3 linked regions of the Macaca mulatta genome follow. The protein of the gene in region 1 binds, or shares a complex with, the protein of each later gene. Links are inferred from orthologs where the notes say so. Each region holds a gene or a part of one and is shown in the gene's direction. Other genes may lie near its edges. The genes, in order: TIMP1, MMP10 and MMP3.

What was found.
Region 2: the proteins of TIMP1 (region 1) and MMP10 are in contact, whole or in part, in a crystal structure (PDB 3V96), measured with the Homo sapiens proteins. The link is inferred for Macaca mulatta from reciprocal best matches to the Homo sapiens genes TIMP1 and MMP10. Residues at the interface, in NP_003245.1 of Homo sapiens: Cys24, Thr25, Cys26, Val27, Pro28, Asn37, Leu57, Tyr58, Pro87, Met89, Glu90, Ser91, Val92, Cys93, Arg98, Thr121, Cys122, Cys155, Leu156, Ser157, Ile158, Gln173, Leu174, Gly177, Ser178, Glu179, Lys180; in NP_002416.1 of Homo sapiens: Phe170, Tyr171, Gly177, His178, Ser179, Leu180, Ala181, His182, Ala183, Tyr184, Pro185, Tyr191, Asp205, Ala206, Ser207, Gly208, Val214, His217, Glu218, His221, Phe226, His227, Thr231, Tyr236, Pro237, Leu238, Tyr239, Asn240, Phe242, Thr243.
Region 3: the proteins of TIMP1 (region 1) and MMP3 are in contact, whole or in part, in a crystal structure (PDB 1UEA), measured with the Homo sapiens proteins. The link is inferred for Macaca mulatta from reciprocal best matches to the Homo sapiens genes TIMP1 and MMP3. Residues at the interface, in NP_003245.1 of Homo sapiens: Cys24, Thr25, Cys26, Val27, Pro28, Pro29, Val52, Thr56, Leu57, Tyr58, Pro87, Ala88, Met89, Glu90, Ser91, Val92, Cys93, Thr121, Cys122, Leu156, Ser157, Pro159, Gln173, Leu174, Gly177, Glu179; in NP_002413.1 of Homo sapiens: Phe100, Thr102, Phe103, Phe171, Tyr172, Gly178, Asn179, Val180, Leu181, Ala182, His183, Ala184, Tyr185, Ala186, Thr207, Thr208, Gly209, Thr210, Val215, His218, Glu219, His222, Phe227, His228, Tyr237, Pro238, Leu239, Tyr240, His241, Ser242.

Annotation. Positions count from the first base shown.
Region 1 is NC_133426.1:47,601,925-47,606,109, forward strand, and holds the start of TIMP1 (metalloproteinase inhibitor 1 precursor), read left to right. Parts: upstream 1-1,351; 5' UTR 1,352-1,403; intron 1,404-2,338; 5' UTR 2,339-2,346; coding exon 2,347-2,467; intron 2,468-3,207; coding exon 3,208-3,287; intron 3,288-3,476; coding exon 3,477-3,603; intron 3,604-3,811; coding exon 3,812-3,936; intron 3,937-4,185. UniProt on the Homo sapiens protein: Metalloproteinase inhibitor that functions by forming one to one complexes with target metalloproteinases, such as collagenases, and irreversibly inactivates them by binding to their catalytic zinc cofactor.
Region 2 is NC_133419.1:103,642,066-103,644,834, reverse strand, and holds the end of MMP10 (stromelysin-2), read left to right. Parts: intron 1-599; coding exon 600-703; intron 704-1,841; coding exon 1,842-1,942; 3' UTR 1,943-2,233; downstream 2,234-2,769. UniProt on the Homo sapiens protein: Can degrade fibronectin, gelatins of type I, III, IV, and V; weakly collagens III, IV, and V. Activates procollagenase.
Region 3 is NC_133419.1:103,711,426-103,714,391, reverse strand, and holds part of MMP3 (stromelysin-1), read left to right. Parts: intron 1-370; coding exon 371-535; intron 536-697; coding exon 698-842; intron 843-1,706; coding exon 1,707-1,840; intron 1,841-2,242; coding exon 2,243-2,402; intron 2,403-2,966. UniProt on the Homo sapiens protein: Metalloproteinase with a rather broad substrate specificity that can degrade fibronectin, laminin, gelatins of type I, III, IV, and V; collagens III, IV, X, and IX, and cartilage proteoglycans.

The DNA of each region.
Region 1 (4,185 bases):
ACCTTCCTCCCACCCAGAACAGTGCTGGATACGCAGTAAGCACTCCGTAGGGGCTGCTGGTAGTTTTTGTTGTGTTCTTGTTATTAGGCTAATATCCCTGAGTTAATCAAACTTAATTAGCAAGGGAGTATGGCGAGTGAATGAGATAATTTATACAAATACTTTAGCACGTAGTATACAGAAAGTGCTCAATAAGCGGCTGCCATCATCACTACAATTATTATTATTGATCTATCCTCCTCGAATTAAGGGTGTTAATCAGAACCCCAGGGAAGATTCCTGCACTGTCAAAAAGCTGGTGGGCAAGGATTGCCCCACCCCACCCTCCACCAGGGGTATAGGTCCGTGGGGAAGGGGCAGGGCAGGATGGGGTGGGGACTAGTTTTCTACTGACCCACTCACTTGTTTCTTTCACCTTCATTCATGGCCACCCCCTTCCCAATGCTCATTCATTCACCCGCACCATTCCCTGCTTGCTAGGATGGTGCCACTCCTGAGTTACGATCCTGGTGCCAGGTAGCCTCAGTTCGAATCCTGGCCATGTCCTGTGATCTTGGGAAAATTCTTCAGTTCCTCTATACCCCGTATTTCCTCATCTGTAAAATGGGAATAATAACTGGTACCCATCTCAGAGATTTGTTGTGAGCTCTGAGTGAGATAAACTATGCTGAGTGCCTGGTATACAGTCGGTGCTATATAAATGCCGGCTATTTGCCTGTGTTTTTTGAGACCCTGGCTTTGGTTCCTGGCCACCTGAGTTCCAGTCTCAGTTCTGCCATGTACTGACTCTATGATCCTGGATAAGTCACTTAACCACTCCATGCCTCAGTTTCCCCATTTTGTGTTCCTCCCCATTCACCTGCCTTATCTCCCTCCACTGCTGCTATTTAATTTGTTTCCTCTCTGCCACCCCTCACCAGCATGTCAGACATACAAAACAAGGGATTTTTGTGTGCTTGGCACACAGTAGATGCACAATAAATGTTGAAGGGCTGAACTCATTTGGGTTTGAGCCATAGGGAGCTTGGGGGATGTGGGTGATTGGATAGATTCTGGAGACTTTAGGGGACTGGGCTGGGGGGAATGCGGCCTCTAAGCTCTCCGCTGAGGCGCCTTGGAAGGAATAGTGACTGACGTGGAGGTGGGGGAGGGGGCTGGCCCGGGCGAGGCCCAGGGAGAGGGAGAGGAGGGGGGTGGGAGAGGAGGAGGGTGTATCTCCTTTCGTCGGCCCGCCCCTTGGCTTCTGCACTGATGGTGGGTGGATGAGTAATGCATCCAGGAAGCCTGGAGGCCTGTGGTTTCCGCACCCGCTGCCACCCCCGCCCCTAGCGTGGACATTTATCCTCTAGCGCTCAGGCCCTGCCGCCATCGCCGCAGATCCAGTGCCCAGAGAGACACGAGAGGTAAGCAGGGCCCGGGATGGCCCAGCAGGAACCGGGGCTGGGCCGCAGCTTGGGTGCTGGCCACCAGGCCCGTGCACTCCCGTGCTAGATGCCTGTCTACTCAGCTTGGCCTGCGGGTACCAGGATCCTGGGCTAGTCTAGGGGGAAGAGGGTCGGAGGCTGGAACCGCTTTCCCAACCCTGAGGCTCCAAACTCCCTAGAACCCCTGACATCCATCCCCAACTCTCCCAAACCCATGACCCCCTAGTATCACAAATGCTTTCCAAATCCCCCGCAAATCCCTTCATCCAGCACTTTCCCTCATCGCCTCCTAAATCCCCACCGCTAACCCCTGCAGCTCCCTGAACTCCCCCATCTCCCCAATCCCCAGTTTCCCAGCTCCCCAGCTCCCAAACTTCTTTTGCCCTCAGATTCCTCAAGTATCACCATTGCCTTAAGCCCCCAAATTCCCCCAACCCCTTCAACCTCCAAACTCCCCCAGCTCCCCAAATCCCCAACCTCCTCCAAATTCCTCAACCTCCCTAAATTCCCCCAGCCCCCTATATCTCTTAATACACACAACCCCTAAACTCTGCCTCCTCCAAACCCCTCCAGCCCCCAATCCCAAATTCCTCACCCCCAAACTCCTCAACCTCCAGAATTCCCCAATCCCCTCATTCCTCAAACTTCCTTAGCTCCCTTCTCCCCCAAGTGCCACAGCTCCATAACCCCGCAACTCAGTCCCTCAATAATTTAAACTTTCCCAACTCTCTAAACCCTAAATTCCTCTGGGCTCCCCAATCCCCTTAAAATCCCCAAGCTTCCCAACCCCTGAAGCCCAAATCCAGTCCCCTAATCCCCCCATAGGCTGCGCCGGGGCAGGATGGGGTGGATGACCTGCCCAGGTCAGCAGATCAGCTGGGCTGGGGCCTGCCTGACATCCCTCTTCCCCACAGAACCCACCATGGCCCCCTTTGAGCCCCTGGCTTCCGGCATCCTGTTGTTGCTGTGGCTGATAGCCCCCAGCAGGGCCTGCACCTGTGTCCTACCCCACCCACAGACGGCCTTCTGCAATTCCGACCTCGGTGAGTCCTCACCCCACTCAGCCCACACACTCTGCCTTGGTTTCCCTCTCAGTCCGGTGGGGCTCACGATGGCACTTACCTCTAGAATGATTCCACTCGCCCCCTGCTCTTCCTCTGCTTTAGCCACATTGGCATCCTCACACTTTCTTGAGTACTCCGTGCCCAAGCCCACCACAGGACCTGTGTGCTGGCTGCTCCCTCTGCCTGGTACACTTTCCCCCCAGGTATCCACATGGGTGGCTGCCTCAAATGTCACCTTCTCAGGATGGCCTTCCCTGGCCATCTTGTTTAAAATTTTAACCCCTGCCCCTTAGTACTCCTGATTTCCTGTTAAAGAGAAAAATATTCGGTGATAGTTGTTATAGCACAGTAAGGAAGACCATATTCAGGACAATGGTGATGGGTACAGGAACCACTGCAATGGGATCTTGCTGTCTGGGAGAGAGATTGGGCTCAACACTGAATATAGCATGGGCCAGTGGGAATGTCTGGGCACTCCCAAATATTTGAGGAGTAAATGAACAAATGAATATATGAAAATGGCTTAAGCAGTGCCTGGCGAAGAGAGACACTCAACATACAGATGAATCAATAAACAAATGTGTAAATCACTTAGTGTGCTGTCTGGCATCCAATAACCCCTATTTATGTATGCACGTTGCTGGTATTATGATGATGATGATCTTATTTTTATTGGCTCATGCAGTCCATTTGACTCATATTTCCCTCCTCTCCTGCAGTCATCAGGGCCAAGTTCGTGGGGACACCAGAAGTCAACCAGACCACCTTATACCAGCGTTATGAGATCAAGATGACCAAGGTATCCCCTGCTCCCGCCCCTTTCCCAGCATTTTCTAACATCTTCCTCCTGGTCAAAACAGAAACTTCTGGCCACTGGTTGGTGCAAGAAAGTTGGCTGTGATCTTGGGATGCTATGTGACTTCAGGGAAGAACCTGGAGTGGGAGGATTATGTCAGTAAAAGAGACACTTCCCCTCATCCATCAACAGATGTATAAAGGGTTCCAGGCCTTAGGGGATGCCGCTGACATCCGGTTCGTCTACACCCCCGCCATGGAGAGTGTCTGCGGATACTTCCACAGGTCCCACAACCGCAGCGAGGAGTTTCTCATTGCTGGTGAGGCACCGTCCCCGCGCCCTGTGCCACGCCAACCAGTCCCTGGGGCGCGGCCTAGCAACAGCGAGGGGGCGAGGCTCTGATGGGAATGGTTCCACTGGAAATGGGTACCATCCCAATTTCAGCCTATCAGAAGGCCGGGCCTTTGCTAGCCTGGCGGCTCAGCCAATCAAAAGCTGCTTGTCGGTTACCCCCGCTTTCTCCTTAGGAAAACTGCAGGACGGACTCTTGCACATCACCACCTGCAGTTTCGTGGCTCCCTGGAACAGTCTGAGCTTAGCTCAGCGCCGGGGCTTCACCAAGACCTACACTGTTGGCTGTGAGGAATGCACAGTGAGTACCTGGACCCTGACCTCCAACGGGAGATCCTTCCGCGGCCCTTCCCTAAATCGTGGGCTTGTTCCTTGCTCCCTCTGGCTATTCTGTGTCCCTGTGGCTGCTCCCAAACCCTAAGGGTTGTCCCTGATCTCTCTTGCTATTTCCCCAAGCCCGAGACTGCTCCCTTACAAATTCTGGCTGCTCCCTTGCCCTGTGTCCAATACCGTGTGATCGCCTGTCCCTGGTCCCTCTAACTCTCCCTTG
Region 2 (2,769 bases), on another chromosome or scaffold:
TGAAGAAGACAGTTTATTGTTCTACTTCCTGGATACAAAGGGCTCTCAGAGCGGTGATCACTGGGCTATATACTCAGACACCAAAGGACATCAGGAGAGGCCAGCTGAGGTCCAAAGACATTCCCTTCTTATCCCGTTTCCAGTCACCATGTGGCTGCCATAGGAAGCCCAGGTGTGGCAGGCTTTGGAGACAAGATCTACAGGGTCCCAGTGTGACTGAGAACCAGAGGTTTAGTTTTAGCTAAGTGATTTAATTCATTTTGCATTTTATGTCTACACAGTCTTTATGTATTTGTGGTAGACACATAGAAATTTGGGGTCTGTGTGTCCAGGCTTAGAAAATTTACCTCAGACATATGTATGGAACCTCTGTAAAATGACAGAATGTTCCTGTTTCTGGGAAAGTATTGTTTTATGTGTTAAACTTGTAAGCCCAGGAAAGTAACCTCTTCTTGTAGCTCTAAAAATGTTTAACACTTTTTTACACAACTTAAAAGTTTGTCTAGGGTTCCACACTGGAAAATTAACATCACATTATACTATTGTGTGTAATGGGACTACTACGCAACATTGAACTGTATTTCTTTCATTTGGCTTAGATTTGATGAAAATAGCCAGTCCATGGAGCAAGGCTTCCCTAGACTAATAGCTGATGACTTTCCAGGAGTTGAGCCTAAGGTCGATGCAGTATTACAGGCATTTGGTAAGAAGACCCTTATTTCATTGTCAATGCAGGAATCTCCAGGCATTTTTATGATTTCAAAATGAAGTGCAGAATCAAAATAGTTTTTAAATCATTCAGTCTGATATCTTTTTTACTCCAAATTCCTGAAAATCTTAACTTTCCAATTTATGCAAAGTGGGTTTAAATTGTGTGTGTGTGTGTGTGTGTGTGTGTGTGTGTGTGTGTGTGTGGTTTTTTTTTTCCTGAATAGCTTCCAAGTCTCTGTTTCATACCCGCACATAAAATCAAAGGATACTTTCTCACACAGAAGCCATTATCTTTCAGGTCACTATGTTGGTATAAAAATACAATCTATGTGAGCCAAGTTTACTAATGGCTGGTTGTCATTCTATTCTATCCCATCCTGTTGTCCCTTTCCTTCTATCCCATCCCAGGGGAGCCTTGTCTGGGCTTCTGTTGCAGTCTGCAATTTCCTACATTAGTCATTTGTAAAAAAAATAGTAGCCCTCCCATATGCTCAGAATAGGTAAAATGTGATTCATGGTAATGGGTAAATAGGAAAGCAAAACTTGTTCTTGATTACTCTGAAGGAATTTTGGAGGGAGCTGCCAGTGCTTGACAATCCAGTGCTCATGAGGCTGATGATCTTGTTACTAAAATGACTTAACCATGATGGATGCAAAGCAGGAAATGGACCTCTGGCTCATTTATCATTTGTCTGATTCTCTTGGGTCTAGTTGTCTCCTAAGCTGTAATTTAGGACCTAGCAGAAGAGGAGAGGTTGGAAAGAAAGGAAAACAAGATTTTAAAATATTATAGAATGTTATATATTTAGAACCAGTATAACATAATGTTTTAGAGCACTTCCTTTGGAGTCAGATGAGATGGTGTCCTCCCTCCATCCTTCCTTACAGATGCTACCTTGTTAAAATTACAAAACCGTCCTAATTTTTAGTTTTGTTCTCATTAATAACACATTACACTTTTTTGTAAGGGTAATTGAGCTAAACATGTAAAGCACTTAGCTCAGTACCTGGCATAGAGTAATCACTTAATAAATGCCATCCATTATTAACTTGTACTTAATCTAAGTCACATATGTTGCAAAATGACATATTTGAAGATGTCTCATCATTTTCCTTCTCTATGTTTACAGGATTTTTCTATTTCTTCAGTGGATCATCACAGTTTGAGTTTGACCCCAATGCCAGGATGGTGACACGCATACTGAAGAGTTACAGCTGGTTACATTGCTAGACAAGATAGGGGGAAAACTGATATGGGTGTTTTAAATAAATCTAATAATTATTCATCTAATGTATTATGAGCCAAAATGATTCATTTTTCCTGCATGTTCTATGGTTAAAGAAAAGGAGCCTTGCAGACATCTGCATGTGTCATGGAGAATGTTTCTGGAATTCTTCATTTGCTTTTGAATTACGTTCAACAGAATTAAGAAATACTCATGTGCAATAGGTGAGAGAATGTATTTCCATAGATGTTTTATTACTTCTTCAATAAAAAGTTTTATTTTGGGCCTGTTCCTTACTTTCTAGAACAATTCATGTTCAATACCCTGACCACACTGGGGACTGATTATTTGACAGATACTCTGCCAGTAGATGTGGTAGGATCACACACTATAAAGGAGCCATGTGGCTGTCACATACCCTCTCCTATGCTCTGCACCAACAGGATCTTTCTTTTTCATCTCACAGATATTGTAAGCGTTCCTTACACACCTAACAAAGAAGGTAAATCAACAGTTGTCCTGTATCTAGGAAGGATCAAAGCAGAATGGAGAAATGGAACTCTAGAATGTTAGAGCCTGGGAACCTGGCGTATTATTTAATAGACTTTACAATTTTACAGGTGGGGAAATAAAACTAGTTTGGAGTCCACTCACCTCTCGTTTTAACCCAAATCTTTCTTTATTGGGATTCCTTTCCTGCTCTGCAGACTAAATTTCTCATCTCACCCTCACCCTCACCCTCCTGTTAGAATATTCTCTTGCTGCCATTTTGTATGTGGAAGCCCCTGGGTGATAAGAGAGCATGTGCACATGTGGTAATTTTCTACTCAGC
Region 3 (2,966 bases), on another chromosome or scaffold:
AATATATTAAAACAGTGTTTAGCTTTGCATTGACAAATGAAGGTAAATATTTGATATGCTAAACAAATGGGTTCATTCCATTCCTGAGTACAAGAAAAGGGACCTGTTTCTTCTGGAGTTAATATGCTTGTGAGGCTGGGGGTGGGTTCCGGGGGATCAATCTCAAAGATTGATTTCAGGTATGAGTTTTAAAATACACTTAGCTTTCCATTAAGTGTGTAATTAGTCAATTGTTTGGTTAACCAACAAACAAGGTGTAAAAAGCCCTGTGTGGTTCCAAGAAGCAAAAACCAGTACAATGCACAGCAGACCTGTGTAATGTACGTGTATTTAAAAAATAAGTAACTATTGTTTTTGATTTCTTAAATAGGGGTCAATTTATTCCTCGTTGCTGCTCATGAACTTGGCCATTCCCTGGGTCTCTTTCACTCAGCCAACACTGAAGCTTTGATGTACCCACTCTACCACTCACTCACAGACCTGACTCGGTTCCGCCTGTCTCAAGATGATATAAATGGCATTCAGTCCCTCTATGGTGAGTGACGCTGGGAAAATTAGCCATTGTGGTTTTGCAACGATGGTCTTCAGAAGAGCTGTCAAATGCTACATTTAGCTGAAAGCACCGTGAGAATGTTTGGAAAGCACACAAACGGGCATATATTGAAACGTATCACATTTCCCCTAATGTTCCCTTTAGGACCTCCCCCTGGATCCCCTGAGACCCCCCTGGTACCCACGGACCCTGTCCCTCCAGCACCTGGGACGCCAGCCGCGTGCGATCCTGCTTTGTCCTTTGATGCCGTCAGCACTTTGAGGGGAGAAATCCTGTTCTTTAAAGACAGGTCAGACTGAAAAATTATATTTTCCTATCATTTTAGTCTACAGTGCTTAGAAAGGAAAACACACAGAAATTTGATAGAGATTTTTAAACATTTAAAACAAAAACGTTTCTTCTGAGCTTGGCATCATTTAGATCTGGTGCTGCCTTTTCCCACATTTTCCTAAAATTGCCAGGTTCGTATTTGAAGGCTCAGGCTGATCTGGTTCCTGTCTTCTAATTGCTATTTCCAAATGTTTTAAGTTGCGGTTACTTTTCAAAAGGCATGAGTAGATCTCTAGAATAATACTTTTATTTTTACTTCCTTTAAAAATGACATCAGGATCAACATTACATTTAATCAAGTAATTTACCTACTGATGGATCAATATGCACATGACAAACATTCAAACAGCACAAATGAGAAGAAAATTAAAAACTTTAGTTCCCAGTTCCCCCTATATTCATCCAGAGTCAAGACTTTTTGTGCATCCTTCTAGAATCTTTCTATACGTATATAAGAATATATTTATACAGCACATACACGTACACACACACTGCCCAGCTTTTGGAACAGGGCATAGCATACGCACTGTTTTGCACACGTTGCAGGTAGTTAAAGCTTATGCTGGGCTAATTCATTTGCATGATAGAATAATTTTTCTTCCATAGAAGACATTCCTCTGGAAACCTATGACAGGAGACTCACTGCAGTCTTCTGAAGAAAAAGGAAAGAAATTTTCTAATGGCAATATACCTGATTTCTATCTGTCATCCAGCCTAGAAGATGAGAGAATGGGGGAAGTTGCGTGAGGCAAGATGGTGAGGAAAATATTCTAAAGGTGAAAGACTGTTTTTCAATTTACATTTCTTTTTACATATATTTTAGGCACTTTTGGCGCAAATCTCTCAGGAAGCTTGAGCCTGACTTGTATTTGATCTCTTCATTTTGGCCGTCTCTTCCTTCAGGCGTGGATGCCACATATGAAGTTACTAGCAAGGATCTTGTTTTCATTTTTAAAGGTAATTATTACATCATCATTTGTTTAACTTGCTAAAATAAACCCTCTCATAAGAAATTGAACGACACTTTCCTTTTCCCTGCTACATCAAGTACTGGCTAGTACAGTAGTCAAAGGTAATGAAGAAATAACCAGGGCTGATATGATTGCATTTATATTTTATAGATGATAAAAATAAAGACAGGAAGATAAATTACCCAGAGTTGTAAATTCTCTCATTTGACCTTGGTTTATTCATTCAGTCTGCAAATTTTTGTGAAAAGCCCACTATGAGCTGGTGACTAAATCTAAAATTTGGGCTACTTCTTTACCATGAAAATCAAAGATGCTAAAGTGTATTTCTAAAGCTAAAGGGCTTAACTGTTATAATTCAATATGACTCTGAATTATTTATATTTAACAGGAAATCAGTTCTGGGCCATCAGAGGAAATGAGGTACAAGCTGGATACCCAAAAGGCATCCACACCCTAGGTTTCCCTCCAACTGTAAGGAAAATCGATGCAGCCCTTTTTGATAAGGAAAAGAAGAAAACATACTTCTTTGTAGAGGACAAATATTGGAGGTGAGATGCAAAAGAAATGACTTTGCGTGGAGCCTAATTAGTGAAATTAGTTTCTTTTTCTAAGGAAATCCCTCACCCCAACCTTAGGCCTGCTTCTCTCTTAGTAGGAAGGATGGGACTTCAGACAACTGTGGGAAAGTTCTTATTTTAAAACAGCAGCACTTTAAGCTCTCCTGCTTTGAGTCCCAAATGCAGTTGGCTGGTGCTTCCCTTAGTGCTGTTGTCCCAACTGCCTGGAGCCCCCTCTTCTCTCCTCAACCTATTCAAATCCTGCCCATCCTTCAAGTCCTGGCTCAAGTCTTATCACCTCCATGCAGCTTTCCCTCATGGACTTTAGACCCGTTGGGAAAATGTTCTGAGAATCCAGACCACCATTTAGCATTTCCTTCCCATTGTCTTATAGTTTGGCTCACTGTCTGTCTGTGTTTGTTACTGTCTCACTGTGCGTTTGTCTTGTCTTCCTAACACTACTATGTGATATCCAAGGGCTACCTCTAACCTCACCCGTTTGTTACCTCTGCCTGATAATGATGGCACTTTTAAGAGATGATGAGCAATAGCAGT